Linked DNA regions of Anolis sagrei. The protein of the gene in region 1 binds, or shares a complex with, the protein of each later gene. Links are inferred from orthologs where the notes say so. Each region holds a gene or a part of one and is shown in the gene's direction. Other genes may lie near its edges. The genes, in order: TIMM22, TIMM10B and TIMM9.

Evidence for each region.
Region 2: TIMM22 (region 1) and TIMM10B share a complex: the UniProt entries of both Homo sapiens proteins name them as parts of the TIM22 complex. The link is inferred for Anolis sagrei from reciprocal best matches to the Homo sapiens genes TIMM22 and TIMM10B.
Region 3: the proteins of TIMM22 (region 1) and TIMM9 are in contact, whole or in part, in a cryo-EM structure (PDB 7CGP), measured with the Homo sapiens proteins. The link is inferred for Anolis sagrei from reciprocal best matches to the Homo sapiens genes TIMM22 and TIMM9. Residues at the interface, in NP_037469.2 of Homo sapiens: Asp35, Arg37, Gln38, Pro39, Arg40, Leu42, Gly45, Ser46, Leu47, Gly49, Ile50, Ser52, Pro53, Lys60; in NP_001291414.1 of Homo sapiens: Gln13, Glu16, Phe17, Thr20, Leu57, Thr60, Gln61, Met65, Phe67, His71, Gln74, Asn75, Leu78, Lys81.

What each region holds. Positions count from the first base shown.
Region 1 is NC_090031.1:29,073,595-29,085,072, reverse strand, and holds the start of TIMM22 (mitochondrial import inner membrane translocase subunit Tim22), read left to right. Parts: upstream 1-6,204; 5' UTR 6,205-6,315; coding exon 6,316-6,553; intron 6,554-10,331; coding exon 10,332-10,528; intron 10,529-11,478. Other genes in the region: SPECC1 (cytospin-B), read right to left, coding at 899-1,131. UniProt on the Homo sapiens protein: Essential core component of the TIM22 complex, a complex that mediates the import and insertion of multi-pass transmembrane proteins into the mitochondrial inner membrane. In the TIM22 complex, it constitutes the voltage-activated and signal-gated channel.
Region 2 is NC_090023.1:1,134,067-1,144,838, reverse strand, and holds TIMM10B (mitochondrial import inner membrane translocase subunit Tim10 B), read left to right. Parts: upstream 1-6,295; 5' UTR 6,296-6,344; coding exon 6,345-6,380; intron 6,381-8,425; coding exon 8,426-8,521; intron 8,522-8,626; coding exon 8,627-8,791; 3' UTR 8,792-8,829; downstream 8,830-10,772. Other genes in the region: ARFIP2 (arfaptin-2), read right to left, coding at 5,974-6,087; DNHD1 (dynein heavy chain domain-containing protein 1), read left to right, coding at 8,975-8,999. UniProt on the Homo sapiens protein: Component of the TIM22 complex, a complex that mediates the import and insertion of multi-pass transmembrane proteins into the mitochondrial inner membrane.
Region 3 is NC_090021.1:334,534,806-334,545,827, forward strand, and holds the start of TIMM9 (mitochondrial import inner membrane translocase subunit Tim9), read left to right. Parts: upstream 1-6,502; 5' UTR 6,503-6,596; exon of another isoform or gene 6,597-6,624; intron 6,625-11,022. Other genes in the region: KIAA0586 (protein TALPID3), read right to left, coding at 3,000-3,231. UniProt on the Homo sapiens protein: Mitochondrial intermembrane chaperone that participates in the import and insertion of multi-pass transmembrane proteins into the mitochondrial inner membrane.

The sequences.
Region 1 (11,478 bases):
TTTTTATTATTGTATTATATTTTATTATGTTTATTATTCCGTTTCTTATTTTATTCTATTCTTTTATTATTATTATTATTATTATTATTATTATTTTATTATATTTATTATTCCGTTTCTTATTTTATTCTATTCTTTTATTATTATTATATATATTATTTTTATTATTTTATTATTTTTATTATGTTTATTATTCCATTTCTTATTTTATTCTATTCTTTTATTATTATAATATATATTATTTTTATTATTGTATTATATTTTATTATGTTTATTATCCCGTTTCTTATTTTATTCTATTCTTTTATTATTATTATACATATATATTATTTTATTATATTTTATTGTATTTATTATTCCGTTTCTTATTTTATTCTATTCTTTTATTATTATTATATATATATTATTTTTATTTTTTATTATATTTATTATTCCGTTTCTTATTTTATTCTATTCTTTTATTATTATTATTATACATATATATTATTTTATTATATTTTATTGTATTTATTATTCCATTTCTTATTTTATTCTATTTATTATTATTACATGTATTATTATTATTATTAATTTTTACCTTTAGACGCATCTCTTGAACATTATTATTATTATTATTATAATTATTATTATTATTATTATTATTATTATGAGAGATAGAGGAGCACAATCCCTTCCATAAGAGAGAAAAGGCAGAAGCAAAGCCAAGCCGTAGGATTTCCCCCTTTTGAACAATCAGGCAGAAGCTTAGCACAAATGACAGCTCCCCCCATTGAAACAAATGAGAGCCCTTTCCCTTGCAGCCTTGGAAGCAGCAGATGTGCCAAGCAGCCAGAGCATCTCCTTCCCTGGGAGAGATCCCATAGAGACGGATGGGAAAAGGATGCCAGGTGGCACTCACCCTCCTGCTTCTGCCGCATCAACAGGATGGATGGATGGAAGGAAGGTAGGGATGCAGCCAGGCTGGCGGATGGAGGGTGCCTCTCTTTCTCTTCCTTTCTCTCTTCCCTTCCTCCTTCTCTCCTCCTCTTCTGCATTCAGAGGGATTTCCTGCAGAGAAGCCCATGCATCTGCATCAGGAGGAAGCCCAGCCGAACCTGAAGGAGGAGAGGAAAAAGGGGAAGCCGGGGTCATGTGATGCCATACATGCCACCCAAAAGAACCCTGGGTTCGAATCCCACCTCAGCCATCTCACTATTGTTATTATATATTATATTTAATATTATTATGATATATTTTATTATATTTCTATTCATCATTATTATATATTTTATTTTATTCTGTTTATTATTATTATATGTTTTATTTTATTATTCCATTTTATATATTCTGATCTATTTAATATTTTATTTTTTATTATTTTATTCTATTTCGTATGGTTGTTCTATTTATTCTTATATATTTTATTTTATTTATTATACATTTTCTTTTATTTATTATTTATTTATTATGTCTATTTATTCTATTTTATTATTCTATTTTGTTATATATATATAGATAGATATAGAGAGAGAGATTATTCTGTTTAGTATTGTATTGTATTAATATTATTCTATTTTGTTCTATATTTTATTGTTATATGTGTTATATTTGTTATTGTTTCTCTTTATATATAATTTTATTCTATTTATTATAATATATTTTATTGTATTATTATATAGCTTATTTTCTTATATTTGTTATTATTTTCTTATCTTATATTTTATTCTATTTATTATTAGATGTTTTATTTTATTTATATTTTTATATATTTTATTTATTATTCTATTTGTTATATATATATATATATATATATATATATAATTTTATTCTGTTATAGTATATATAATTTTATTATATTTATTATTATTCAATTTTTTATTTTATTTATTCTATATTTTATTTTATTTATTTTTATTATTATATATTTTATTTATTATTCTATTTGTTATTTATATATATAACTTTATTCTATTTATTGTGGTATATATTATTTTATTATATTTATTATTCTATAATACTTAATATATTATATTTTTATTATTATTATTATATATATATAATTTTATTATAAATTTTATTTCATTTATGATTCTATGTTATTATTTTATTCTATTTAGTATTATTAAATTTATTATTATTATCATTATCCTGCTTCTTCCCTTTAGATCGAGATGTATTTGAACAGTGATCCATAGGTTGCAGTGGGGTCTACCTGCGGGGTCACTTCACCCCTTCCCAGAACCAACAGAAGTGATTATTTATGTTATTCCGATCGTATTTTGTGCCTGTTTTCTCTCCCTTGCAAGGCGTAGTCGAGGCGTCTTCCAGGCAGAGAGTCCCATGATGTGGCCAAAGGCTAAATTCGGCCTCGTGCCCACAAGGAAGGCAGCCTCGCCCTCCTAATGACAGGGCCTCCTTTTCTCCCTCCAATTATCCCCGCCGTCTCTCATCCAAATGTATTTCTGGCTTTGCGGTGGCCAAATGAGAGGATTTGTTTCGAAGCCGAAGAGCCGGCGTTCTCGCAGGAGCAGTACCTATTGATCTACTCACATTTGTATGTTTTCGAACTGCTAGGTTGGCAGAAGCTGGGGCTAATGAAACAATGGAGGATTTTAGAAGGGACTGGCCCTGTAGGAGAGACCCTGCGGACCCACCAAAGAAGGATCGCTACAACGGGGAGCAAAGAGAAGCCCAATTTAAGATAATTTCCCTCGGTTCCCAAAAAGAATCTCGCCAAAGTTGAAGAAAGCGCCACTGAGATGATTTTATTGCAATTCAGCTAAGCTAAAGCATAGCATGTACACAAATAAATGCCATTTTTATAGAAATACAGAGTTGTGTGGTTCAAATCTCCCGCTCTCTGCTCTTGCTCGGCTTGAAGGTGATTGGCTGGGAGGAGGCTCGGCCGCCCCTCGAGCACCTGGGCCAATCACAGGGCTTCTGCGGTGCACCAGAGCCAATCAGGAGGCTTCTGCCGCCTAGGTGCTCCAGCGAATCAGCAGGGAAGGAGGCGGGACAAGGGAATACAATGCATTCTTGAGTGGATTATGGTATCAGGAAATGTCCAGGGGCCAATTCAGCTGAAAAGGATGCAAAGCAGCAACCTTTCGCCAAGCTAAAGCATAACATGTACACAAATAAATGCCATTTTTATAGAAATACAGAGTTGTGTGGTTCAAATCTCCCGCTCTCCACTCTTGCTCGGCTTGAAGGTGATTGGCTGGGAGGAGGCTTGGCCGCCCCTTGAGCGCCTGGGCCAATCACAGGGCTTCTGCGGTGCGCCAGAGCCAATCAGGAGGCTTCTGCCGCCTAGGCACTCCAGTGAATCAGAAGGAAGGGAGGCGGGACAAGGGAATACAATGCATTCTTGAGTGGATTATGGTATCAGGAAATGTCCTGATACGAATCCTAAAATGGCCTACGAGCTAAGCTTTACTAATGACTGGTGATTGAGTAAAATAAACATTATACCAACATAGTCCGGGTTTTCCTTTTACACCAAAACAGAGGAACAACGGGGGAAACTTAAGTGGATGCCTTCAGTGAGAGAGTTGAATGGGTGACAGGTCAGGAGGGGGAAGCTTTCCAAAGGTTTCCCCTTGTCCTATTGTAATATTTACACACTATCTGTCATGGGAAGGGTCCTTGTTGTTGTTAGTGTCTTGGCAAATTGATCAAGGCTTAACCCTTATTATCCAGTCTGGTGTCCTTGTCCTTAGCAAAACTATAAGTTACTATCTTTTATGGGGGGGGTGTGTGAGTGTGTCATGTTCGACTTCACTAACGATAGCTCACCCCGCTCCCTGGATTTGAACCACCAACCTTTCAGTCAGCAAGTTCAGCAGCTCAGTGGTTTAACCCACTGGGCCACCTGGGGGCCCTAATATTAGATTAGGTATTATCATTTCTATTATTACTATTATTAGGTATTATTATTATATGTATTATTAAGAATATTACATTAGGTATTATCATTACTATTATTACTATTAGGTATTATTATTATATGTATTAATAATAATAATAATTATAATATTATATTAGGTATTATCATTTCTATTATTACTATTATTACTATTAGGTATTATTTCTATATGTATTAATAATAATATTATATTAGGTATTATAATTTCTATTAGTACTATTACTATTATTACTATTACGTATTATTATTATATGTATTAATAATAATATTATATGAGCTATTATCATTTCTATTATTACTATTATTAGGCATTATTATTATATGTATTAATAAGAATATTACATTAGGTATTATCATTACTATTATTACTATTAGGTATTATTATTATATGTATTAATAATAATATTAATTATAATATTATATTAGGTATTATCATTTCTATTATTACTATTATTACTATTAGGTATTATTTCTATATGTATTAATAATAATATTATATTAGGTATTATAATTTCTATTAGTACTATTACTATTATTACTATTACGTATTATTATTATATGTATTAATAATAATATTATATGAGCTATTATCATTTCTATTATTACTATTATTAGGCATTATTATTATCATTTCTATTATTACTATTATTAGGTATTATTATTATATGTATTAATAATAATATTATATTAGCTATTATCATTTCTATTATTACTATTATTAGGTATTATTATTATATGTATTATTAATAATATTATATTAGCTATTATCATTTCTATTATTACTAATATTAGGCATTATTATTATATGTATTAATAATTATATTATATTAGCTATTATAATTTCTATTAGTACTATTACTATTATTACTATTACGTATTATTATATGTATTAATAATAATATTATATGAGCTATTATCATTTCTATTATTACTATTATTAGGTATTATTATTATATGTATTAATAATTATATTATATTAGCTATTATCATTTCTATTATTACTATTACTACTATTAGGTATTATTATTATAATATGCATTAATAATAATATTATATTATGTAATCTCATTTCTATTATTACTATTACTTCTATTAGGTATTATTATTATTATGTATTAATAATAATATTATATTAGGTATTCTCATTTCTATTATTATTTTTAGGTAATATTATTATTATATGTATTAATAATAATATTATATTAGGTATTATAATTTCTATTATTACTATTATTACTATTATTAGGTATTATTATTATTATTATTATTATTATTATATGTATTAATAATAATATTATATTTAGTATTATTATTTTATTATTAGTACTATTTGGTATTATTATTATATGTATTAATAATATTATTATTATTTTAAGTAGTATTATGTCATTTATTCGTATTATTACTATTACGTATTGTTATATTAAGTATTATTATGTTTATTATTTCATTATCACTCAAGCAAGAGGGACTCCATCTCCCTTGAGCCTCTGCGGCAGGGATTCCCATTGGAAACAATATTGCTATAGGGCGAAGGGCATGACGGGAGGTGAAGTCTGCGAAGTTTTACAACATGGCGCCCTTTCTAGGAAGAGGACTCAGTTTCCCTTGAGCCTCTGCGGTAGTGATTCTCATTAGAAACAATATGGCTGTTCCGCGAAAGGCAAGATGGGAATTGCAGTCTGCGAAGTTTTAGAACATGGCGTCCTTTCAAGCAAGCGCTCAGGGTGTTTAGTGGACTCCATCTCCCGCGAGCCTCTGCGGCAGGGATTCGCATTAGAAACAACACGGCTGTTCCACGAAAGGCAAGATGGGAATTGCAGTCTGCGAAGTTTTACAACATGGCGTCCTTTCAAGCAAGCGCTAAGGGTGTTTAGAGGACTCCATATCCCGCGAGCCTCTGCGGCAGGGATTCGCATTAGAAACAATACGGCTGTTCCGCGAAAGGCAAGACGGGAATTGCAGTTTTGTCAACACGGCGTCCTTTCAAGCGAGCGCTCTGGGTGTGTAGCGGACTCCATTTCCCGCGAGCCTCTGCGTTAGGGAGTCTCATTAGAAACAATACGGCTGTTCCGCGAAAGGCAAGATGGGAATTGCAGTCTGCGAAGTTTTACAACATGGCGTCCTTTCAAGCAAGCGCTAAGGGTGTTTAGAGGACTCCATATCCCGCGAGCCTCTGCGCCAGGGATTCGCATTAGAAACGATACCAATGTTCCGCGAAAGGCAAGATGGGAGATGTAGTCTGTGAAGTTTTACAACATGGCGTCCTTTCAAGAAAGAGCTCAGGGTATTTAGTGGACTCCATCTCCCTTGAGCCTCTGCGGCAGGGATTCCCATTGGGAGCAATAAGGCCGTTCCGCGCAAGGCCTGACGGGAGACGGAGTCTCGGCCTCTGAGGGAAAGCGAGCACGATGGCGGCGCCGTCTCCTTCTCCCTCGGCGGGGTCCGAAGAAGCGTCGCCGGCAGGGCTGCAGTACAGCGTGCTGCTGGAGCACCTGGTCGGGGAGAAGCGCGGGCCTCGTCCCGGCCTGGAGACGGCGGCCTTGGCCTTGGCGGGCTTCCCTTCGCCGGTGAAGAGCGCCGAGCAGAAGGCGGTGGAGCGCGCCATGGAGAGCTGCACCTTCAAGGCCGCCTTGGCCTGCGCGGGAGGTGAGCTAGGCCGCAAGAGGGCCGGCACGCCACGCAAGGGCTGCTGGGAGGGAGGGAAGAGAGCAGTCGTGGCGCCATCTTGGGCGCCCTTAGGCAGTGTGTGTGTGTATATATATATATATATATATTACATCTAATAGCTAGGAAAAATAAATAAATAAATATATATATTTCTCAATAATTCAGGCATAAAATATAATGCACAATATCTAATAAAATACAATAAATATAAATAAATATGTTATAAAAAATAATATTCTGTAATAAATATATCTAACTTCTGAAATATATATATTTCTCAATAATACAGGCATAAAATATGCACAGTATGTAATAAAATACAGTAAATATAAATAAATATGTTATAAAATATAATATTCTGTAACTAATATATCTAACTTCTGAAAAATAATTAATTAAATAAATATGTTATAAAATATAATGTTCTATAATAAAAATATGTAACTTCTGAAATATATATATATATTTCTCAATAATACAGGCATAAAATATATAGCACAACGTGTATATTGCAAATACAATATAAATATAAAATATAATGTTCTGTAATTAATATATCTAACTTCTGAATATATATATATATATATATCTCAATAATACAGGCATAAAATATAATGCACAATGTATAATAAAATACAATAAATATAAATAAATATGTTATAAAACATAATGTTCTGTAATAAATATATCTAACTTCTGAGATATATATATATATATATATATATATATATATATATATATATATATAATACAGGCATAAAATATAATGCACAATATGTAATAAAATACCATAAATATAAAATATAATATTCTGTAATAAATATATCTAACTTTTGAAATATACAGGCATAAAATATAATGCACGATATGTAATAAAATACAATAAATATAAATATGTTATAAAATATAATGTTCTGTAATAAATATATCTAACTTCTGAATATATATATATATATATATATATATCAATAATACAGGCATAAAATATAATGCACAATGTGTAATAAAATACCATAAATATAAAATATAATATTCTGTAATAAATATATCTAACTTCTGAAATATATATATATATATATATATATATTTCTCAATAATACAGGCATAAAATATAATGCACAATGCGTAATAAAATGCTATAAATATAAAATATAATATTCTGTTTATATATATATATATATATATATATATATATATATATATATATATATATATATGTCATGTTCGTTTGTGGGATAAACATCACTCAAAAACCACTGGACAAATTGACACCAAATTTGGACAGAAGACACCTATCAGGCCAACAAGTGACTATCACTCATAAAAACGCTGAAAAATGCAGTGGAAGGGACTTAAAAGGCCAAAAAACAAAAAAATGAATTACAACGCATGTGCAAAACTACATATATACACATATATATACACACACAAAACACATGTGCATATATATATATATATATATATATACACACACACACACACATATATATACACATATATACACACACAATACACATATACACAGACTGGGCCACAGCAACGCATTGCTGTGGTCCAGTCTATGTATATGTGCTATGTTTGCATGTGGTTTTGTGCATACATTGTAATGTATTTTTATTTTTTGGCTTTTTAAGTCTCTTTCACTGTGTTTTTCAGTATTTCTATGAGTGATGGTCACTTGTTTGCCTGAGAGGTGTCTTGTGTCCAAATTTGGTGTCAATTCGTCCAGTGGTTTTTGAGTTATGTTAATCCCACAAACAAACACTATGTTTTTATTTGTATAAATATATATATACTAGCCGAACCCTGCCACACGTTGCTGTGGCCCAGTCTGTGTATATGTGTTTTGTGTGTATATATGTTTATATGTGTGTGTATATTTGTGTATATGTGTAAATATGTTGTTTTGCGGATGAATTGTAATGTAATTTTTTTTTTTTTGCTTTTAAAGTCTCTTCCACTGTGTTTTTCAGTGTTTTTATGAGTGATGGTCAATTGTTGGCCTTATAGGTGTATTGTATCCAAATTTGGTGTCCATTCGTCCAGTGGTTTTTGAGTTCCCCCGGGGAGATAGAGCAATATATAAATAAAGTTTTATTATTTATTATATTATTATGTTAATCCCACATACGAACATCACATCTTTATTTATACAGAATATATATATATATATAGAGAGAGAGAGAGAGAGAGAGTATCTGTATATGCAGTATATAAATACTGTAAATAAATAAACTATATATATATACTCTGCATGTATACATAGTATATATAATAAAATATAAATAATATACAAAATAATATGGTAGAAAATAATAAATAATAAAAGTAAAATAAAATTTAAAAATATATAGTGTCTGTATACATGGTATATAATATAATATTAATATAATATAATAAATATATTGTGTCTGTATACATTTATTTTTATTTATTTATTTAGTTATTTACTTTGTTTATATACCGCTGTTCTCAGCTCGGGGGCGACTCACAGCGGTGTACAACATAGAAAGAACAAGGTTCAAAATTCAAGACACAATATAAAATGATCCACAATCCAGCATGGTGCCCTTGAAGTGACTGGCTTGACTCTGAAGGAGCTGGGGGTGGTGACTGCAGACAGAGAGCTCTGACATGGGTTGGTCCGTGAGGTCACACAGAGTCAGAAGCGACTGAACGAATAAACAACAACATACATGGTATATATAAGAGTCATACGCACTGCCCCGGAGTGTAGTGGAGGCTCCTTCTTTGGAGGCTTTTAAGTAGAGGCTGGATGCCATCTGTCGGGGGTGCTTTGAATGCGATGTTCCTGCTTCTTGGCAGAATGGGGTTGGACTGGATGACCCACAAAGTCTCTTCCAATTCTAGGATTCCATGATACAAAATAATATATACAATAATATTAATAAATAATATATTAAATATAATTAACCGTGTGTGTCTAGCCCCATTCAATCACCATTTATCTATCTAAACACATAGTAAAAGTGAAAATATGTATGTATGTGTGTGGCTGGGGTGTCCACAAACACTAGGTTCTTGTGGGTTTTTTCGGGCTATAGGAGCTCTTCCCTTGCCCCACCCCAGCCATTCCACAGATATATAAACCCATTTTCCTACTTCCAACAGACCTCACTACCTCTGAGGATGCTTGCCATAGATGCAGGCGAAACGTCAGGAGAAATGCCTCTAGAACATGGCTCTATAGCCCGAAAAAACCCACAAGAACCTAGTGATTCCAGCCATGAAAGCCTTCGACAATACATTGTCCACAAACAGCTATAGCTCCCACTACTCAGGAGACACCAATTTGGGCCCACTGCCTCTTCCTTAACCCTTTCCTATTCTTTTCTATGGCACACAGCAAACAGAGAAGTTGATCAGTAACTGAACATACTAAAGAGGTTTGGGGAGAATTCACCGTATTTTATGGGAGTTGTAGGTCCACAGGGCCCCCATGACCAACAAAATGTACTGGAGATCTTTGGAAGAAATTCACTTGATTTGGGGGAGTTGTAGTTCACCTACATCCAGAATGCTCTATGAACCCAAACAATGATGGATCTGGACCACACTTGGCATGAATAGTGTTGGAAATAATTGATAAAATATATATTATTATTATTATTGTGGTCAATAATCAGCCCCAAAGAATAGAACAACTGTCAAAATAGGAACATGACATGCATTTAGGTATTAGGAAACCTTGTCATTCATCGTCACTTCTGTTTATTCCTCTTCCCATTGCTCGCAGGCTTTGTTTTGGGGGGTGCCTTCGGAGTCTTCACGGCCGGCATTGACACCAACGTGGGCTTCGACCCCAAGGACCCCCTCTGCACCCCGACCGCCAGAGAGGTCCTCAAGGACATGGGGCAGCGGGGGATGTCCTACGCCAAGAACTTTGCCATTGTGGGCGCCATGTTCTCCTGCACCGAGTGCCTGGTCGAGTCGGTGAGCTCTTCCTTTCCGTGCTATTTATGCCCTTTTGTAAGAGTTCTCTGCAGCAGGATCCCATCTCATTATATGTTTCCCCCGTTTCGTATTACGCTCACTCAATTTTCCCGTTTGTATTCCATGCACAAAGAAATGCATTATCGTTATTATCTTATTGTTATTATTATTTTTATTATATGCGCAAAGAAATGCTTTATTATATGTAATATCATTAATGTATTATTATTACATGCACAAAGAAATGTCTATATTATATATTATTAAATTATTGTACTATTACACGCACAAACAAATGCTTTATTGTATTATAATTAATATATTATTACATACACAAATGCTTTATTATATTATTATATTATTATTCCATGCACAAATGCTTTATTATTGTGTATTTTTATATTACATTACATGCACAGAGCTGCATTATTATTACTTTATATTACTACATGCAAAAAGAAATGCTTTATTATATTATTAATATAATTATTGTATTATTATTATGTACACTAAGAACTGCATTATCATTATGTATTATGTGTTATATTATTATTAATATAATTATTGTATTATTATTATATACTCAAAGAACTGCATCATTGTTATGTATTATTTTATATTATTTCACACACAAAGAAATGCTTTATTATATTATTATTAATATAGGTATTGTATTATTACGTACATGAAGAACTGCACTATTATTATGTATTGTTATTACATGCACAAAGAAATGTGTTATATTATTTTTAATATAATTATTGTATTATTATTACATACTCAAAAAACTGCATTATTGTTATGTATTATTTTATATTTTTGCATGCACAAAGAAATTCTTTATTATTATATTATTAATGTAATTACTATATTATTACAGGCACAAAGAAATGCTTTATTATTACAAATATTATATTGCATGCACAAAATGCTTTATTATATTATTACAT
Region 2 (10,772 bases), on another chromosome or scaffold:
CTTGTGATTCTGTGATACGAAATCCAGCATAGAGATCTCGTTTGCTGTGACATGCTGTGCTTTTGTGTCAATAGAATAATAATAATAATAATAATAATAATAATAATAATAATAATACATCACACAGTCCTAGACGCTTGGGAAGGGTTCGACTTGCGATTCTGTGATACGAAATCCAGCATCTAGATCTTGTTTGCTGTGACATGCTGTGCTTTTGTGTCAGTACAATAATAATAATAATAACAACAACAATAATACATCACACAGTCCTAGATGCTTGGGAAGGGTTCGACTTGTGAGTTTGTGATACAAAATCCAGCATATATACCTTGTTTGCTGTGACATAGTGTGTTTTTGTGCCAGTAAAGTAATAATAATAATAATAATAATAATAATAATAATAATAATAAATCACACAGTCCTAGACGCTCGGGAAGTGTTCGACTTGTGATTCTGTGATACAAAATCCAGCATCAAGATCTCGTTTGCTGTGACATACTGTGCTTTTGTGTCAGTACAATAATAATAATAATAACAACAACAATAATACATCACAAAGTCCTAGACGCTTGGGAAGGGTTCGACTTGTGATTCTGTGATACGAAATCCAGCATCATTTGCTGTGACATACGGTGTTTTTGTGTCAATAGAATAATAATAATAATAATAATAATAATAATAATAACAATAAATCACACAGTCCTAGATGCTTGGGAAGTGTTTGACTTGGGATTCTGTGATACGAAATCCAGCATCTAGATCTCGTTTGCTGTGACATGCTGTGTTTTAGTGTCAGTACAATAATAATAATAATAATAATAATAATAATAATAATAATAATAATATCAAACTGCAAAGACTGTGGCAAAAGCCAGTCAAGGGGGTCCCAGTGGTGATCAGCACACTGGGTGCAGTGCCTCAAGACCTTGGCCTGCACTTAAACACAATCAGTGCTGACAAGATTACCATCTATTAGTTGCAAAAGGCCACCCTACTGGGATCTGCATGTATTATGCGCTGATACATCACACAGTCCTAGTCACTTGGGAAGTATCCAGCGTATAATCCAATACAACAGCCAGCAGAGTGATTTTGTTTGCTGTGAACTCATCTTGTATGTGTATCAAATAATAATAACAATAACAACAATAATAATAACAACAATAATAATACTATAATGATTATTAAACAAATACAATATATCACACCAGGCCCATAGCCAGGATTTTGATTCAGGGGGGAGCGGGGCTGGGGATCTACCCTAGCAAACCTTTTGTATCGTTACCCCAATAATACCCCCTCTGTGCATCTGGGATATATGGAGCATGGTGATCAGATCACGATATGAATAAACATAACAGTTTAAATAATGTACCAGTAAGGCCTTTTCGCGAACCACCATGAGAATTTCGGGGGGAGGGGGGTGAAGCCCCTCAAGCCCCCCCCCCCCCCCCCCCCGCTCCAGCTATCACACAGTCCTAGATGCTTAGGAAGTGTTTGACTTGTGATTTTGTGATACAAAATCCAGCATATATACCTCGTTTGCTGCGATAGCGACATACTGTGTTTTTTGTGTCATTAGAATAATAATAATAATAATAATAATAATAATAATGAGCTGACATGATATGAGGATTTAAAGATCAAACTGCAAAGACTCTGGCACAATCCAGTCAAGGTGGTCCCAGTGGTGATTGGCACACCGGGTGCAGTGCCTCAATTTATTTATTTATTTCAAACATTTTTATCCCGCCCTTCTCAACCCCTGGGGGGGGGGGGGGGGAACGGACTCAGGGCGGCTTCCAATTGGCAATAATTCAATGCCGCATCATAAAATACAGAATAACAAATATAACAATTAAACACGAACATTAATAAATATAGATTAAAACAGTATACATACACTCTGATTAGCGATTGCCCGCCTGGTGGCTGTTGAGCTAGCCATCTAGTAATGATTACTCCGCTTAACTTATCCAAATCCTCTTCCATGCCAGAGTCAAACATTATCCATTGCCTGGTCCCACAGCCACATTTTCACCTTTTTTCTAAAGGCGAAATGTCAGGAGGAAATGCTGCCAAACCACAGCCATAATAATTATTATTTTACCGACACAAAACCACAATATGTCACAGCAAACGAGATCTCTATGCTAGGTTTCGTATCACAAAATCACAAGTCGATCCCTTTCCCAAGTGTCTATGACTGCGTGATGACGACTGACCATTGTAATTATATGACTGTATTTTGCCTTTTATTGTTTTACTGTAATTTGGAATACGATGTTTTTAATGATTGTTGTAATATTGATGTTGGAAACCGGCCTGAGTCCCTCGATGGAGGTGAGAAGACCGCTATACAAAACTGCCAAATAAATAAATGTATCAGCGCATAATGCATGCAGATCCCAGTAGGGTGGCTTTTTGCAACCAATTGATGGTAATCTTGTCAGTGTCGATTGTGTTTAAGTGCCGGCAAGACCTTGGCCTGCACTTAAACACAAGTGGCGTCAACTGCAAAAGGCCACTCTATTCAGATCTGAATGCATTATTATTCGATACATCACACAGTCATAGACACTTGGTTCCAGACTAAGCACAACCCTGGAACACCTCAGCAAGCGAGAGTCCAAAAGTGGCAGGCTCAAACCCAGAACTGATACCAGATGAGAGACTCCCCCCTGGGCACACAGAGGACTGGGCGACTTGGAAGGCGCTGAACAGACTGTGCTCGGGCACCACGAGATGCAGAGCCAACCTCCAGAAATGGGGCCACCAAGTGGAATCCTTGACATGCGAGTGTGGAGAAGAGCAAACCACTGACCACCTGCTACAATGCCACATGATGCACCAGGGAGGACCTTCTTGCAGCAACACCAGAGGCACTCCAAGGGGCCAGATACTGGTCAAAGGACATTTAACCAACTACCAAACTCACAAGTTGTGTATTTTGTCTGTTTGTTTGCTTTGTTCTGTTAGAAATGTAATATAATTAACTGGTTGCCCTGACACGACAAATAAAATAAAATAAAATAAATCATCATCATCATCATCATCATCATCTATATCCTGCTTTATCTCTCCCAAATGGGACTCAAAGCAGTAATAATAATAATAATAATAATACTTAATAATATTGTTATCATATATATTTATACCCCACTTTATCTCCAGCCCATCCCGTTTGGATATCAGCCAGCACATCAACGACTTAAATCTAGAAATAGTTTTCTAAGATCTACAGAGACATTCGCTGGAACCCCTCAGCAAGCGAGAGTCCAAAAGTGGCAGGCTCAAACCCAGAACTTCAACCAATGGCTGATACCAAATGAGAGACTCCCCCCTGGGCACATGGAAGACTGGGCGACTTGGAGGGCGCTGAACAGACTGTGCTCTGGCACCACGAGATGCAGAGCCAACCTTCAGAAATGGGGCTACAAAGTGGAATCCTCGACATGCGAGTGCGGAGAAGAGCAAACCACTGACCCCCTGCCACATGCACCAGGGAGGATCTTCTTATAGTAACACCAGAGGCACTCCAAGTGGCCAGAGACTGCTCAAAGGACATTTAACCAACTACCAAACTCACAAATTCTGTGTTTTGTCTGTTTGTTTGCTTTGTTCTGTTAGAAATATAATATAATTGACTGCTTATTTATTTTATTTATTTATTTGCTTTATTTCTATACCGCATTTTTCAGCCCAAAAAGGCGACTCAATGCAGTTTGCTTGCCGTGAAACGACAAATAAATAGACACTTAGGAAAGGGATCGACTTATGATTTTGTGATATGAAACCTAGCACAGAGATCTTGTTTGCTGTGACATATTGTGGTTTTGTGTCAGTAAAATAATAATAATAATTATGGCTGTGGTTTGGCTGCATTTCCTCCTGACATTTCACCTGCTATTCGAGCACCACCACAACACCAATAATAATAATAATATTATTAAAAGTAATAAGGGTCCCTGCTTAACCCCTCCCCACCCCCACCCCCCACCCAATCTCCCCAGGTAAGCCCCTCCCTCCATTCACCTGCTCGAGGCCATTATCCTCTGAGTGGTAATAATAAGTGTCCAATAATAATAATAATAATAATAATAATAATAATAAGTGTCCATCGTGTGACCCAGTACAACAGCCAGCAGATTGTCTGCTGTAGTGTTATCCTGTTGTGTTTCTAATAATAATAATAATAATAATAATAATAATAATAATAATAATAAGTGTCCAATGTGTAATCCAATTCAACAGCCAGCAGAGTGTCTGCTGTGGACTCATCTTGTTATGTTTCTAATAATAATAATAATAATAATAATAATAATAATAATAATAGTCCTAGGCACTTGGGAAGTGTCTGACATGTGGACTCATCTTGTTGTGTTTCAAATAATAACAGTAATAATAATAATAATAATAATAATTCAACAGCCAGCAGAGTGTCTGCTGTGGACTCATCTTGTTGTGTTTCAAATAATAATAATAATAATAATAATAATAATAATAATAATGTGTCCGACATGGGATCCAATGCAACAGCCAGCAGAGTGTCTGCTGTGGACTCATCTTGTTATGTTTCTAATAATAATAATAATGATAATGATAATAATAATAATGTATTGTGGAAAGCTTTCACGGCTGGAATGACGGCTCTCTTGTGTGCTTATCCAGGTTGTAGGGCTGTGGTCTGGCACCATTTCCTCCTGACATTTCGCCTGCTATTCAAGCACCACCACAACACCAATAATAATATTATAATATTATAATATTACAATAATAATATTATGACTATGAGTAATAAGGGACCCTGCTTGACCCCTCCCCACCCCCAATCTCCCCAGGTAAGCCCCTCCCTCACTTGTGTGCTTATCCAGGTTGTAGGGCTGTGGTCTGGCAGCATTTCCTCCTGACATTTCACCTGCTGTTCGAGCACCACCACAACACCAATAATAATATCATTACTACGAGTCATACGGGTCCCTGCTTGACCCCTCCCCACCCCCCACCCACCCAACCTCCCCAGGTAAGCCCCTCCTTCAATTCACCTGCTCGAGGTCATCATCATCTGAGGGACCCCCACCACCCCCCACCCAATCTCCCCAGGTAAGCCCCTCCCTCAATTGTGTGCTTATCCAGGTTGTAGGGCTGTGGCCTGGCAGCATTTCCTCCTGACATTTCGCCTGTTATTTGAGCACCACCACAACACCAATAATAATAATACTATTAATGGTAATAAGGGACCCTGCTTGACCCCTCCCCACCCCCACCCCCACCCCCAGCCCCCATCCAATCTCCCCAGGTAAGGGCTGTGGTCTGGCAGCATTTCCTCCTGACATTTCACCTGCTATTCGAGCACCACCACAACACCAATAATAATACTATTACTGAGAGTAATACGGGTCCCTGCTTGACCCCTCCCCACCCCCCCCACACCCAACCTCCCAGGTAAGCCCCTCCCTCAGTTGTGTGCTTATCCAGGTTGTAGGGCTGTGGCCTGGCAGCATTTCTTCCTGACATTTTGCCTGCTACTCAAGCACCACCACAACACCAATAATAATATTATTACTACGAGTAATACGGGTCCCTGCTTGACCTCTCCCCATCCCACCCACCCAACCTCCCAGGTAAGCCCCTCCCTCAATTTACCTGCTCGACCGCCCCCCACCCCCCCACCCAATCTCCCCAGGTAAGTCCCCCCCTCAATTCACCTGCTACCCCACCCCCTACCAACCCAACCTCTCCAGGTGAGCCCCTCCCTCCATTCCCCTGCTACCCCACTCCCCACCCACCTAACCTCTCCAGGTGAGCCCCTCCCTCAATTCACCTGCTCGAGGCCATCATCTTCTGAGGGACCCTCACCCCACCTCACCCCTCACCCACCCAATCTCCCCAGGTGAGCCCCTGCCTCAATTCCCCTGCTACCCCACCCCACCCCCACCCACCCTCTCCAGGTGAGCCCCTCCCTCAATGCACCTGCTCGAGGCCATCATCCTCGGAGGTGGTGGAGGGTCCCATCCGCCGGGAGTCTCCGTTGCCGTGGATGGGGACCTCCATGGTGGCCGCCTTGCTCATCAGCCCCTCCGTCATCCTGGACGAGGAGCAGGAGGGGGACAGGTGAGCTTGTGTACCTGCCTCCCAGGTGCACAGGTGCGCTCTAGGCCCCTCCCTCTTCCTTCCCTCCCTCTCTCCCGGAACTGGGGCCACGTCGCCTTCCTCCTCCTCCTCCTCCGCCGCCTTGGGCCCCCGGGAGGACCGGAAGCGACGTCACGGCGGCCCCAGGGTCGGGGGGAGAGAGAGGAAGGAAGGAAGGAGTCAAGGGGGAAGCAAAGCGGAAGTGACGCAGGATGGCGGAGAGCGAGCAGCAGCAGCAACTGCGCAGCGTGAGTCTTCCCAAACAAGGGGGCGGGGCTTCCCATCCTTCCCTCCAGGCGCTTTGGACTACAACTCCCACAATTCCTAACAGCCGGGACGGCTGTTAGGAATTGTGGGAGTTGTAGTCCAAAGCGCCTGGAGGGCCCAAGCTAGGCCTTGCTTCCCTAACGCTTGGGCATTGTGGGAGTTGTAGTCCAAAGCGCCTGGAGGGCCCAAGCTAGGCTCTGAAGGAGATCTTTGCTTTCCTAACACTCTGGAATTGTGGGAGTTGTAGTCCAAAGCGCTTAGAGGGCCCAAGCTAGGCTCTGAGAGAGGGCTTGGCTTTCCTAACACTTGGGGATTGTGGGAGTTGTAGTCCAAAGCGCCTGGAGGGGCCAAGCTAGGCTCTGAAAGAGATCTTTGCTTTCCTAACGCTTAGGGATTGTGGGAGTTGTAGTCCAAAGCGCCTGGAGGGCCCAAGCTAGGCTCTGAAAGAGATCTTTGCTTTCCTAACGCTTGGGGATTGTGGGAGTTGTAGTCCAAAGCGCCTGGAGGGCCCAAGCTAGGCCTTGCTTCCCTAACGCTTGGGCATTGTGGGAGTTGTAGTCCAAAGCGCCTGGAGGGCCCTAGCTAGGCTTTGCTTCCCCAACACTTGGGCATTGTGGGAGTTGTAGTCCAAAGCGCCTGAAGGGCCCAAGCTAGGCTCTGAAAGAGATCTTTGCTTCCCTAACTCTTGGGGATTGTGGGAGTTGTAGTCCAAAGCGCCTGGAGGGCCCAAGCTAGGCTTTGCTTCCCTAACACTTGGGGATTGTGGGAGTTGTAGTCCAAAGCGCCTGAAGGGCCCAAGCTAGGCTCTGAAAGAGATCTTTGCTTCCCTAACTCTTGGGGATTGTGGGAGTTGTAGTCCAAAGCGCCTGGAGGGCCCAAGCTAGGCTTTGCTTCCCTAACACTTGGGGATTGTGGGAGTTGTAGTCCAAAGCGCCTGGAGGGCCCGAGCTAGGCTCTGAAAGAGATCTTTGCTTCCCTAACACTTGGGAATTGTGGGAGTTGTAGTCCAAAGCGCCTGGAGGGCCCAAGCTAGGCTCTGAAAAAGATCTTTGCTTCCCTAACTCTTGGGGATTGTGGGAGTTGTAGTCCAAAGCGCCTGGAGGGGCCAAGCTAGGCTTTGCTTCCCTAACACTTGGGGATTGTGGGAGTTGTAGTCCAAAGCGCCTGGAGGGCCCAAGCTAGGCTCTGAAAGAGATCTTTGCTTCCCTAACACTTGGGAATTGTGGGAGTTGTAGTCCAAAGCGCCTGGAGGGCCCAAGCTAGGCTTTGCTTCCCTAACACTTGGGGATTGTGGGAGTTGTAGTCCAAAGCGCCTGGAGGGCCCGAGCTAGGCTCTGAAAGAGATCTTTGCTTCCCTAACACTTGGGAATTGTGGGAGTTGTAGTCCAAAGCGCCTGGAGGGCCCAAGCCAGGCTCTGAAAGAGATCTTTGCTTTCCTAACACTTGGGGATTGTGGGAGTTGCAGTCCAAAGCGCCTGGAGGGCCCAAGCTAGGCTTTGCTTCCCTAACACTTGGGGATTGTGGGAGTTGTAGTCCAAAGCGCCTGGAGGGCCCAAGCCAGGCTCTGAAAGAGATCTTTGCTTTCCTAACACTTGGGGATTGTGGGAGTTGCAGTCCAAAGCGCCTGGAGGGCCCAAGCTAGGCTTTGCTTCCCTAACACTTGGGGATTGTGGGAGTTGTAGTCCAAAGCGCCTGGAGCGCCCAAGCTCGGCTCTGAAAGAGATCTTTGCTTCCCTAACACTTAGGAATTGTGGGAGTTGTAGTCCAAAGCACTTGGAGGGCCCTAGCTAGGCTCTGAGAGAGGAATTTGCTTTCCTAACAGTCGGGAATTGTGGGAGTTGTAGTCCAAAGCGCCTGGAGGGCCCAGCTGGGCTCTGAGAGAGGGATTAGCTTTCCCAAAACTGGGGGATTGTGGGAGTTGTAGTCCAAAGTGCCTGGAAGGCCTGAGCTAGGCCTTGCTTTCCTAACACTTGGGGATTGTGGGAGTTGTAGTCCAAACGTCTTATCTGTCTCCTTCCTGTTCCAGCTGCGGGACTTCCTGCTGGTCTACAACCGGATGACGGAGCTCTGCTTCCGGCGCTGCGTCCCGGGATTACTCCAGCGAGGCCTAGACGGGAGCGAGGTGAGGGCAAAAGGCGCCGGAAGTGCGGGGGAAAACCACTTCCTGTGGCTTCTTCCGCCATTCTGATCCCAGCGGTGCCTCTCTTTCCCTCTCTCTCTATGGCAGGAGGCGTGCCTGGAGGGCTGCGCGGGGAAGCTGGTCCGCTCCAATCAGCGCCTGATCTCGGCCTACGTGCGCCTCATGCCAGTCTTGGTCCAGCGCCGCCTGCAGGAGGGCGGGCCCGCCAAGCCGGAAGGGGAGGAGCCTCCCACGCCCGGAAGTGGGGACTGAAGCAATGCCCTTACTCAAATACAAACGCCTTTTCCTCCTCCAAGCCTCCTCATTGGTTGAGCTCACCCAAAGGGGAGGGACATCCTCTGCACGGCTAGAGCGGACTTCCGGAAGGGCGGGAGGGGGGACGTTAGGCTTCCTTAGCAACGCCCCTGGCAACGCTCACTCTCCTCCTCAGCAGCCATGGAGTCTCCCGCGCCAGAGAAGGGTAAAGCAAGGCCAGGGGGGCCCTGAGCATGTGCAGAGGGCATTGTGTACAGCAGTGGCTCGTTGTAGGCTTTCCTGGCTGTGTTCCAGAAGCACTCTCTCCTGACGTTTTGCCCACATGCACAGAGATAGTGAATTCAGCTTGATTAGCGTTTAATGGCCTTGCAACTTCAAGGTCTGGCTGCCTGCTGCCTGGGAGAAGATTTTCTTTTGCCCACATCTATGGCAGGCATCCTCAGAGGTTGTGAGGTCAGCTTGATTAGCGTTTAATGGCCTTGCAACTTCAAGATCTGGCTGCCTGCTGCCTGGGAGAAGATTTTCTTTCCACCATCCTGGACATCATTCCACCTCTGAGGATGCCTGACATACATGCATAGAATGCTCCTGGAACGTGGACACACAGCCCCGGAAAACTTATGGCAATCCACTGCAGAGAGTTCCACTGCTGAACGGTTCCGAGCCCCTATAAAAGAGAGGGCGGTCTAGGAACAATGTATTGTTATTATTATTGTGTTGTCAAAGGAAGGCTCTCACTGGGTTGCTGTGAGTCTTCCGTCTGGCCCTCTTCTGGAAGGAGACTCTAGTCCGCTCCACTGCAGAGAGTCCCACAGTTGAACAACTCTGAGTCCCCATGGGGAGAGACAGCGGTTTACAAATGAAGTATTATTATTATTATTGGGTTGTCGAAAGCTTTCATGACTGGAATCACTAGGTTGCTGTGAGTCTTCAGTCTGGTCCTCTTCCGGAAGGAGACTCCAGTACACTCCACTGCAGAGAGTTCCACAGTTGAACAGCTCTGAGCCCCTATAAAGAGGGCGGTCTAGAAACAAAGTATTATTATTATTGTGTTGTCAAAGGAAGGCTCTCACTGGGTTGCTATGAGTCTTCCGTCTGGTCCTCTTTCGGAAGGAGACTCCAGTCCACTCCACTGCATAGAGTTCCACAGTTGAACAGCTCTGAGTCCCTATAAAGAGAGAGAGCGGTCTAGAAATAAAGTATTTCATTATTATTGTGTTGTCAAAGGAAGGCTCTCATGGCCGGAATCACTGGGTTGCTGTGAGTCTTTCGTCTGGATCTCGTCCAGAAGGAGACTCCAATCCACTCCACTTCAGAGAGTTCCACAGTTGAACAGCTCTGAGTCCCTATAAAGAGAGAGGGTGGTCTAGAAACATTGTTATTATTATTGTGTTGTCAAAGGAAGGCTCTCATGGCCGGAATCACTGGGTTGCTATGAGTCTTCCGTCTGGACCTCTTCCGGAAGGAGACTCCAATCAACTCCACTGCAGAGAGTTCCACAGTTGAACAGCTCTTCAGTCCCTATGGGGAGAGAAGGCGGTCTACAAATGAAGGATTATTATTATTATTATTATTGGTTGTCGAAAGCTTTCATGAAACTTACGGCAATCCACTGCAGAGAGTTCCACTTCTGAACAGCTCTGAGTCCCTATAAAGAGAGAGGGCGGTCTAGAAACAAAGTATTGTTGTTATTATTATTGTGTTGTCAAAGGAAGGCTCTCATGACCGGAATCACTGGGTTGCTGTGAGTCTTCCGTCTGGACCTCTTCCAGAAGGAGACTCCAATTCACTCCACTGCAGAGAGTTCCACTGCTGAACAGCTCTGAGTTCCTATAAAGAGAGAGGGCGGTCTAGAAATATAGTATTGTTATTATTATTGTGTTGTCAAAGGAAGGCTCTCACTGGATTGCTGTCAGTCTTCCGTCTAGCCCTCTTCTGGAAGGAGACTCCACTCCACTGCAGAGAGTTCCACAGTTGA
Region 3 (11,022 bases), on another chromosome or scaffold:
GCCATGAAGCTGAGGAAAGGTCAATACGGTACAAGTTTTCAGGCCTCTTAGGAGTTGCCGGGACAGAAGCCGGGGCAACTCCATTATTTTTGAGAATTTTTAATAAGTAAGGTAGAGTGGGCAACACAGTGGATGATGGTTGTTGTTGTTCAGTGGAAGTAAAACACGGGTCAGCTACCGTATCGGTAGGTTCCGGAGTGGCTAAGTTTAAGGTTCTAGTTAGTCTTATTAAAAGAGCTGAGAATTTTTTGAATTCCTCCACATTTTTAGGGGAGGGGTCAGCGTCAGGTTGGGTATCCAGGATGGCAGGTGTGTCATCATTGGATTCAAGGTCGATGGTTTCTGAGTCTGGCAGGGGTGGATTGATGGGATCTTGCTCGGGTGGGTGGGTTTGGGCCTCAGTTTGGTCTTCCTGAGGGCGAGAGAGTGTGGCCGTGGGAGGCGCACGGGGGGGCTGAGGGTATCTAGGGTCCTCCAGATGGGAGGCATCAAAGCCCCTATAGTGATCAGGGTGGGGAGGATAATAGAAAGGGTATGGTGGGAAGGGAGGAGGAGGGGGATAGAGGTGGTAAGGGTACTCTGGGTACCCATATGGTTGAAAGTGCTCAGAGGAGCAAGGACGGGGCCTTTTGAGAGGAGGAGAGGAGGGCGCTGTCGGTTCCGCCTCAGGAGAAGGGGATCGGCGGCGGCGGCGGGAAGATTGCGCAATCGGCGCAGCCGGAACGGGGGAGGGAGTTTCTCTCGGGGCCGGGGCTTGAGGAAGAGGGGATGGGAGGGGGGAGGCTTGGGAGAGAGGAAGCGGAGGAGGAGAAGCCGATCGGCCTGCAGAGGGCTGGGCTTCCAACTCCAGCTGAGGGGCCAGGAGTTCGAGCGGAGGGAGGTGGGAGGGGTCATCCAGTTGGAGCATGGTGGGGAGTGGCTCCTGGAGGTGCAGCACGGATCCGGAGGAATGGGGCATCGGTTCCAGTCTGGGAGGACTCAAGGACTGTGTGTCAGTGAGTTGCCGTCCCTTTTTCTGTTTATTTGCTTTCTCTTTTGTTTTCCCCAGCCTCGTGGGCTGTTTGGGGAGTTTTTGTTTCTTTGCAGGCGGTTCCACAGGGGAAACAGTTGCCTGATCCAACTCATGCCTTTCCCCAATGCGTGGGGAGGGAGGCTGAGGGGGCTCTATCAATGGGGAAGAGAGGGAGGGAGTGGGGAGGGATTGTGGAGCCAGAGCGCGCTCATACAACAGAGCTTTCAAACGGGCATCTCTTCCTTTACGAGCCCTTGTAGTAAAGCTTAAACAAATCTCACAAGATTGGAGATTATGGGATTCTCCCAAACAAAGGAGGCATCTTGAGTGCCTATCAGCTTCGGGGAGGGTGGCCCCGCAAGCTGAGCAATTTTTGAAATAAAGGGAAGACATCTAGCCTGAGGGTGAAGAAAAAGAGTTGTCAGCCGGTCCGAGTCGAGGGTGGAGAAAAGAGGCAACCAAAGTCCAGAAATCAGTCCAAGTCAGTCCAGTTAGTCAGAGGAAATCGAGGAGGAGTTGTTCCGAGATGCTGCTAGTTTAGCGCGGAAAAGGAAACTAGATAATGGCGGCGCCGCTCGGCGCTTATATCCAGGGGGGCGGGGGAATGGGCGGGGCCTAGGTGGCTCAAATAATCATTTTTAATTCTTTAAACTTAGAAATGTTCCGAGTTTCTGCGCATGCGCAAAGAAGAACCCATAGGTGCGCATTTCACGGACGACACGAAGAATAAATGATTTTCTACAAATTGGTCTTTCCAGGAGTTGTAATAATTTATTTATTTGTTATTAATTTATTTACTTCATTTCTACCCCAGAGGGTACAAATCCGGCAAAAATTTAATGCTGCACAGATAAACAATAACATATATCTCATCAAAATATAAAACAATATAAGCATATAAGCAATTAAAGTACATAGTAATCAATCAAACAGATTAAAAACCATCTAAAATTCTGAGTCATGATCTCATATCCATAACAATAATAATAATAAAAAGAAGAAGAAGAAGAAGAAGAAGAAGAATTGTATTTCTTGTTTTGCATAAACTGCCAAACAAGGAAAACAGAAACAAACTGGAAGTGATCAGAACTTTATTTATTTATTTATTTATTTATTTACAGCATTTATATTTGCCCTTCTCACCCCAAAGGGGACTCAGGGCAGATCACAGAACACATACACGGCAAACATTCAATGCCGTTTGACATACAGGACAGACAGAGGTATTATGTGGGCATTTTTCCCAACTTCAGCATCCCGGAGGTTGTCCTCAATTACGACCTCAGGGCAGAGCCCTTGGTCACAGACTTCCTCCTGTCTTTTGATTGCCGACATTTTCCAGTACTTCCTTTTTATGGTGCTGTAAAATACCTTCCCACTTAAGCGGTGCCTAATTTCTCTACTCACAGCTGTTTTTGAACTGTCTAGGTGGACAGTAAGCTGAGCTGAAGGTCAGGTGCTCACCCTGATCCAGTCTTCAAACTGCCAAGCTTTCGATTGGTAAGATCTATTGCTGCTGGTGATTAACCAGCTGTGCTATAGCCCGGCTCACTTTTAGTTTTAGATAACAAGGTATTTTAAATGAATACATATATGTATATATTTCAAACACTGCAGAGAATGTTCTTGAGAACTATTTAAAAGATTAATCACCATTCCTGCAGGTTTCCATAAATTGCCAATTCACCATTTTTGGCAGTCCATGAGAGCTTAAGGAAGCTACAATAGCAATATTTGAGAGGTTACATTTTCCCTGCCCTGAATTAAACCCACAGCAACCGAAACAGGATGTTGCCCCTCTTTCCAAGAGGTCTGGGATATGAAAGGAGAAAGGAGACAGAGCAAGCAAAGGCCAAGAGCAAATCAGATGAAGCAAAGCAAGATGGGAAGGGGACATTTATAATACTCAACATGTGGAAGACATTCACAGTCAACTGGACTTCTGACCTCTAAAAGATTTAGACTTATACAATACTAACAAATGTACCTGCTGTGGTGCCTTCAGATGTTTCTGTTGTTGTCTTATGAGATTCAGGTTTGTTAGCCACCAAGGCTGGTGGAATATAAACTCCATCATCCCTTACAGAGAACACCAGAGGGTGGGGCGGAGCTATTTCTCGAAGCCTCTTCACAGAGATGGAGACCTTCTTCTTAGCACAAGCAGCAGGCTTGCCATCTGAAGTCAGTGCTGGCTGAGTGTCAAGATGTTTCTTCTTCATGTGGAAGTTGGGAAAGATAAGGTTGTTGACAGCAGAGGGTCTAATCAAAGGATCTTCGGCCAGCAGTCCTTTCCAATCACATTAGCAGCTCACAGCCAACATTTCAGCTCTTGCTCCTTTTAAGCAAAGCACAAAACTAGTTGATGGACTATTGAAACACAAGATTAGTTGATGCAATTAAAAGGTAACAGGAAAGAACAGAAGAACATGGAGGAATATGCATGATTCAAACTCCATACTACGGTTACTGCTTATTATTATGACAATAATAAACACAAGATTATGCTCAAGTCACACTCATGTCACCAAAAGGCCTACAACAGAACATCCCTGGGTAATAGTATGATAGCTGGGTTCGGAAGCTCATTCCGCAAAGGCGGTTGTAAATAAGGGAAGGGGAGAGCAACACACTGAGGGTGGGAATATACTTCAAAGTTGTATCTGGTGGAAGAATAGAAAGGAGGGGAGGGTTAGAATAAGGTTTAGGGTAAAGTTTAGGGTAAGGATTAGGGTTAGGATTAGGGGTAAGATTTAGGGGGTTAGGGTAAGGTTTAGGATTAGGATAAGGGTTTTAACATTAAATAACTCTTACATTCCTGCTATAATATCTGTGTTTTGTTCTGCGTTGCGCAAACAGAGCTCCCGAAGGAGTGAAGCGGAAACAGCATAACGCTCAGAGCTTCCGGACCCAGCTTTCATACTATTTTCGAAGGCTTTCATGTCCAGAATCACTGGGTTGTTGTAGGTTTTTTTGGGCTATATGGCCATGTTCTAGAGGCATTCTCTCCTGACGTTTCGCCTGCATCTATGCCAAGCATCCCCAGAGGTGAGTATGCATGCCCGGTGTGGAACACATCTCACCACGCTAAAACAGTGGATGTGGCTCTTAATGAGACATGCCGCATTATCACAGGGTGTCTGCGCCCTACACCACTGGAGAAATTACACTGTTTAGCCGGTATCGCACCACCTGACATCCGCCGGGAAGTGGATGCCAAGAGTAAAAGGACCAAGGCAGAGACATCTCCAGCTCATCCCCTGTTTGGGTATCAGCCAGCACGTCAACTACTTAAATCAAGAAATAGTTTTCTAAGATCTACAGAGACACTCACAGAAATACCCCAGCAAACGAGAGTCCAAAAGTGGCAGGCTCAAACCCAGAACCTCAATCAATGGATGATACAAAATGAGAGACTCCCTCCTGGGCACACAGAAAACTGGGCAACTTGGAAGGCGCTGAACAGACTGCGCTCTGGCACCACGAGATGCAGAGCCAACCTTAAGAAATGGGGCCACAAAGTGGAGTCCACGACATGCGAGTGCGGAGAAGAGCAAACTACAGGCCACCTGCTGCAATGCAACCTGAGCCCTGCTACACGCACAATGGAGGACCTTCTTGCGGCAACACCAGAGGCACTCCAAGTGGCCAGATACTGGTCAAAGGACATTGAATCAACTACCAAGCTTGCAAATTCTGTGTTTCGTCTGTTTGTTTGCTTTTGTTAAAAATGTAATACAAATGTCTGGTTGCTGATGACACGATAAATAAATATCCCCAGAGGTAGTAAGGTCTGACCTCACTACCTCACTAGATCAGACCTCACAACTTCTGAGTATGCTTGCCATAGATGCAGGCGAAACGTCAGGAGAGAATGCCTCTAGAACATGGCCATATTGCCCGAAAAAAACTTACAACAACCCAGTTTCATACTATTACCCATACCTGAATGCTGCAGTTTGAAACTGCATCATGTGGTCAGTGTAGACTCAAAATGTAGTTCAAGATAGTTAAACCACATTATATGGATCCATACTGTTTCGAGCTGCATTATATATGTAGATAGGGTTGCTGTGAGTTTTCCGGGCTGCATGGCCATGTTCCAGAAGGCAGGAAGCAGCCAGTCTTTGAAGCTGCAAGCTGTGTATAAATATGTGAGAGGAAGCCACAGGGAGGAGGGAGCAAGCTTGTTTTCTGCTTCTCTGGAGACTAGGACGCAATGGAACAATGGCTTCAAACTACAAGAGAGGAGATTCCATCTGAACACGAGGAAGAACTTCCTGACTGTGAGAGCTGTTCAGCAGTGGAACTCTCTGCCCCGGAGTGTGGTGGAGGCTCCTTCTTTGGAAGCTTTTAAGCAGAGGCTGGATGGCCATCTGTCAGGGGTGATTTGAATGCAACATTCCTGCTTCTTGGCACAGTGGGGTTGGACTGGATGGCCCATGAGGTCTCCTCCAACTCTTTGATTCTATGATTCTATGCTAATCAAAATGGCCAATTGCAACATTCACAGCTAACTCCAACAGATAAGAGTTCTTTCTCCCACCCTGGACATTTATTCCACAGGTATATAAACCCCACTTGCCTAGTTTCCAGACAGACCTCACAATCTCTGAGGATGCCTATCATAGAATCAAAGAGTTGGAAGAGACCTCATGGGCCATCCAGTCCAACCCCATTCTGCCAAGAAGCAGGAATGTTGCATTCAAATCACCCCTGACAGATGGCCATCCAGCCTCTGTTTAAAAGCTTCCAAAGAAGGAGCCTCCACCACACTCCGGGGCAGAGTTCCACTGCTGAACAGCTCTCACAGTCAGGAAGTTCTTCCTCATGTTCAGATGGAATCTCTTCTCTTGTAGTTTGAAGCCATTGTTCTGCGTCCAGTTCTCCAGGGAAGCAGAGAACAAGCTTGCTCCCTCCTCCCTGTGGCTTCCTCTCACATATTTATACATGGCTATCATATCCCCTCTCAGCCTTCTCTTCTTCAGGCTAAACGTGCCCAGCTCCTTAAGCCGCTCCTCATAGGGCTTGTTCTCCAGGCCCTTGATCGTTTTAGTCGCCATAGATGTGGGAGAAACGTCAGAAAAGAATGCTTCTGGAACATGGCCATGCAATGCAATGATTCCAGCCATGAAAGCCTTCATCAACACAAAGAATTACATAAAGAAGTAACTACAGGAAAATACTTATTGAATTATGCCTCCACAAGTACTCCCCACCTTCCTTTTTGTTCCCCAGGTAGATACCCCTCTGCTCTGGGTTGCCCAGCGGCCTCTAACCGGAAGCCTCGGTCGCTATGGTAACAGCAGGCAGGGCTCCCGCCACTTCCAAACCGACCTGCATGCTTTGCTTTCCCAGTCCAAGACAAGCCGCGCATGCGCAGTAGCTTTCCCAATTCAAGACAAGCCGCGCATGCGCAGTTCTAGATTTCCTATTACAAAGGCTTGGGTTGGAAATGCGCATGCGCACCCTCCAATTCCGTTCCTTCTTGATAGTCGTCCGGGTGGAAACCGGGACCCTTTAAGGCGATGCACCCCCACGTGGTCGATGGAAGGAAGGAAGGATCCGCAGCCATTGCAAGAGGAAGGTGAGAAGCAAGCAAGCCAGGAGGGAAGGTTTTAGGAGTTGATTCTTTGTGCTAGAAGTATTAAACGGGGAAGGGTTGTAGCAGGCCCCTTCTACACTGCCATACAAGATAATCCGGATTATATGACTGTGTAGACTCATATGATCCAGTTCAAAGCAGATCAAGTGAATGATCTAAACGATAATCCGGATTATATGGTTGTGTAGACTCATGATCCAGTTCAAAGCAGATCAAGTGAATGATCTAAACGATAATCGGGATTACATGGCCAAGTAGACTCATATAATCCAGTTCAATGAAGATCATGTGGATTATCTACTCGATAATCCGGATTATATAGCCGTGTAGACTCATATGATCCAGTTCAAACCAGATCATGTGGATTATTGAGTCAATAATCCGGATTATATTGTCGTGTAGACTCATGATTCAATTCAAAGTAGATTATGTGAATTATCGACTCAATAATCCGGATTATATGGCCATATAGACTCATATTATCCGGTTCAAAGCAGATCATGTGGATTACTGAGTCAATAATCCAGATTATATGGACGTGTAGACTCATGATTCAGTTCAGAGCAGGTCATGTGGATTATCTACTCGATAATCCGGATTATATGGCTGAGGAGACGCATGATCCAGTTCAGAGCAGAGTATGTGAATTATCTACTCAATAATCCGGATTATATGGCCATATAGACTCATGATCCAGTTCAAAGCAGGTCATGTGGATTATCTACTCGATAATCCGGATTATATGGCCGTGTAGACTCATGATCCCGTTTAGAGCAGATCATGTGGATTATCTACTCGATAATCCGGATTATATGGCTGAGGAGACGCATGATCCAGTTCAGAGCAGAGTATGTGAATTATCTACTCAATAATCCGGATTATATGGCCATATAGACTCATGATCCAGTTCAAAGCAGGTCATGTGGATTATCTACTCGATAATCCGGATTATATGGCTGTGTAGACTCATGATCCCGTTTAGAGCAGATCATGTGGATTATCTACTCGATAATCCGGATTATATGGCCGTGTAGACTCATTATCCAGTTCAAAGCAGATCGTGTGTATCATCTCAATAATCTGGAGTATATGGCCGTGTAGACTCATATGATCCAGATCAGAACAAATCATGTGGATTATCTCCTCAATAATCCGGATTATATAGCCATGTAGACTCATGATCCAATTCAAAGCAGATCATGTGGATTTTCTATTCGATAATCCGGATTATATGGCCGTGTAGACTCATATGATCCAGTTCAAAGCAGATCGTGTGGATTATATGGCCGTGTAGACTCATATGATCCAATTCAAAGCAGATCATGTGAATTATCGAGTAGATAATCCGGATTATATGGGCCTGTAGACTCATATGATCCAGTTCAAAGCAGATCACGTGGATTATCGAGTAGATAATCTGGATTATATGGCTGTGTAGACTCAAATGATCCAGTTCAAAGCAGATCATGTGGATTATCTACTTAGATAATCTGGAGTATATGGCCGTGTAGACTCATATCCAGTTCAAATGCAGATTGTATGGATTATATGGTCGTGTAGACACATATAATCCAGTTCAAAGCATATAGTGTGGATTATCTACTCAATAATCCGGATTATATGGCCGTGTAGACTCATATGATCCAGTTCAAAGCAGATCATGTGGATTATCTACTTAGATAATCTGGAGTATATGGCTGTGTAGACACATATAATCCAGTTCAAATGCAGATTGTATGGATTATATGGTCGTGTAGACACATATAATCCAGTTCAAAGCATATAGTGTGGATTACCTACTCAATAATCCAGATTATATGGCCGTGTAGAGTCATATGATCCAGTTCAAAGCAGATCATGTGGATTATCTACTTAGATAATCTGGAGTATATGGCCGTGTAGACTCATATCCAGTTCAAAAGCAGATCGTACGGATTACCTACTTGGATAATCTGATTATATGGTGTAGACACATATAATCCAGTTCAAAGCATATCGTGTGGATTATCTACTCAAATAATCTGGATTATATGGCATTTTAGACATATAATCCAGTTCAAAGCAGATCATATGGACTATCTGCTTTGATAATCTGGATTATATGGCAGTGTAGAAGGAGCCCAAAACTTTTGATTAGTAAAACTAATGGATGTCTGCGGTCGACAGGCAGTGTGTCCATCTACACTGCACTTTGATCCCACTTTAACTGCTATGCCTCAGTACTGTGTGATCAGTGAAGCTCTAGTTTTACAAGGTCTCTGCTGAAGGGTTGGTTGTACCTCGCCGAACTACAATTCCCAGAATTCCATCGAATTAAGGGGTTTTTTTATCGTGTCAGAAGCAATTTGAGAAACTGCAAGTCGCTTCTGATGTGAGAGAATTGACCATCTGTACAGACATTGCCCAGGGGACACATGGATGTGTTACCATCCTATGGGAAGCTTCTTTCATGTCCCCACATGGGAAGCTGGAACTAACAGATGGGAGCTCACCCCATCTCGCAGATTCAAACAGATGACCTTCAGGTCAGCATTTCAGCCGGCACAAGGGTTTAATCCTATGGGAGGCTTCTTTCATGTCCCCACATGGGAAGCTGGAGCTAACAGATGGGAGCTCACCCCATCTCGCAGATTCGAACTGATGACCTTCAGGTCAGCATTTCAGCCGGCACAAGGGTTTAATCCTATGGGAGGCTTCTTTCATGTCCCCACATGGGAAGCTGGAGCTAACAGATGGGAGCTCACTCCATCTCGCAGATTCGAACTGATGACCTTCAGGTCAGCAGTTCAGCCTGCACAAAGGTTTAATCCTTTGCACCACTGCAGCTCCTGCATTAAGCTCATTGTAGTTAAAATAGTGTCAACTCAAGGATGGAAAAGAAGAAGGAAATATCGAGATGGGAGGGATTTTGTTTTCTTTTTTGGTCACATTTTCATCCTATTGAGGGTGCATCTACACTGTAGTATTAATGTAGTGTAACCCCACTTTAACTGCCATGGCTCAATATTATGGAATGCTGGGATTTGCTGTTTGGCAGAGAAGGCTGAAGACCTTGTCAAACTCCATAACATAACAATGAGCCATGAAGTGAAAAGATGTCAAAACTGCATTAAATTCTGCAGCCGAGATGCACCCTGGGCTTTTGGGTCCCTTGCTGCTTTCTAGCACTGTTTTTCAATAAGAGAGGTCTGCAAGCATTCATTATGACCTTGACAGTCCTTAAAACTGCTAGCAAGCTCACTTCATTCGGGAAGCAATTAATTTGGAAGAGACACTAATCTCAATTCTTGGCATGGATATCCTGCACTGTTTTGTAAAAATTCTTTCTCCGTTCCGCTGCATTCCTTGTTTTAATAGATACACTATAGTCGCCATTATGTGGCAGCATGCTAATATGGATTTCAAATATTCACATTAAAATTGCAGCTGGAAAATGTATGTATAGTACAAGATTTGCATGTTTGTGTAAAACAGCTGTGGTTGAAGACATGTATGTGGTATTGTTGGGTGATTAATACAAAAAAAAAATAAGTGCTTGCAATTTCTCTTCTAATTTAGTTCATTGTAGCTAACACTGGACTAACCCAGTCTAGATGTCACTTAAGCTCTGGCCATGTCTACTTATTTATTTATTTGCCATATTTATATATTGTATATACTCGAGTATAAGCCTAGTTTTTCAGCCCCCTTTTTAGGCTGAAAAAGTTTTCCTCGGCTTATACTCGAGTCAAGGTTATTTATTAGTTTACTTTGTTATTAGTATCATTTTATTACATGAATTATTTAAATATAATTATTATTATTATTATATTTACATTATTTTACTCTACAGTATTATTATTTTATTACATTTATTATTAGAGTTATTTTTATATTATATATATATATATATTATATTATTAGTATTAGTATTATTATTTATTTACTCTTTATTATTATTACATTTATTATTTTACTTTATTTTTATTGTTACTGCATTTATAATTTTACTCTGTTATTACTGTTATTACATTTCCATTATTTTACTCTATTATTATTATTATTATTATTATTATCCTGACACAAAACATAGTATGACACAGCAAATGAGGTATATATGCTGGATTTCATCATCATCATTATTATTTATTTATTTACTTACTTACTTTACTTGTATACCGCAGTTTCTCAGCCTAGCGGTTTACAACAAGGTACAAAAGTCAACAATATACAATTTAAAACCATAAAAGCATAATACACAATATTGGCACAACAATAACAATCCAATGCATCTCATGACTAAAATCGTGATCCAGTTTCGTTGTCCATATTACCATTCCTGTAATCATCACATTCATTGCACCGATTAACCAAATGCCTGTTCGAACATCCAGGTTTTTAATAATAACACTCCCTTTGTTATTATTGG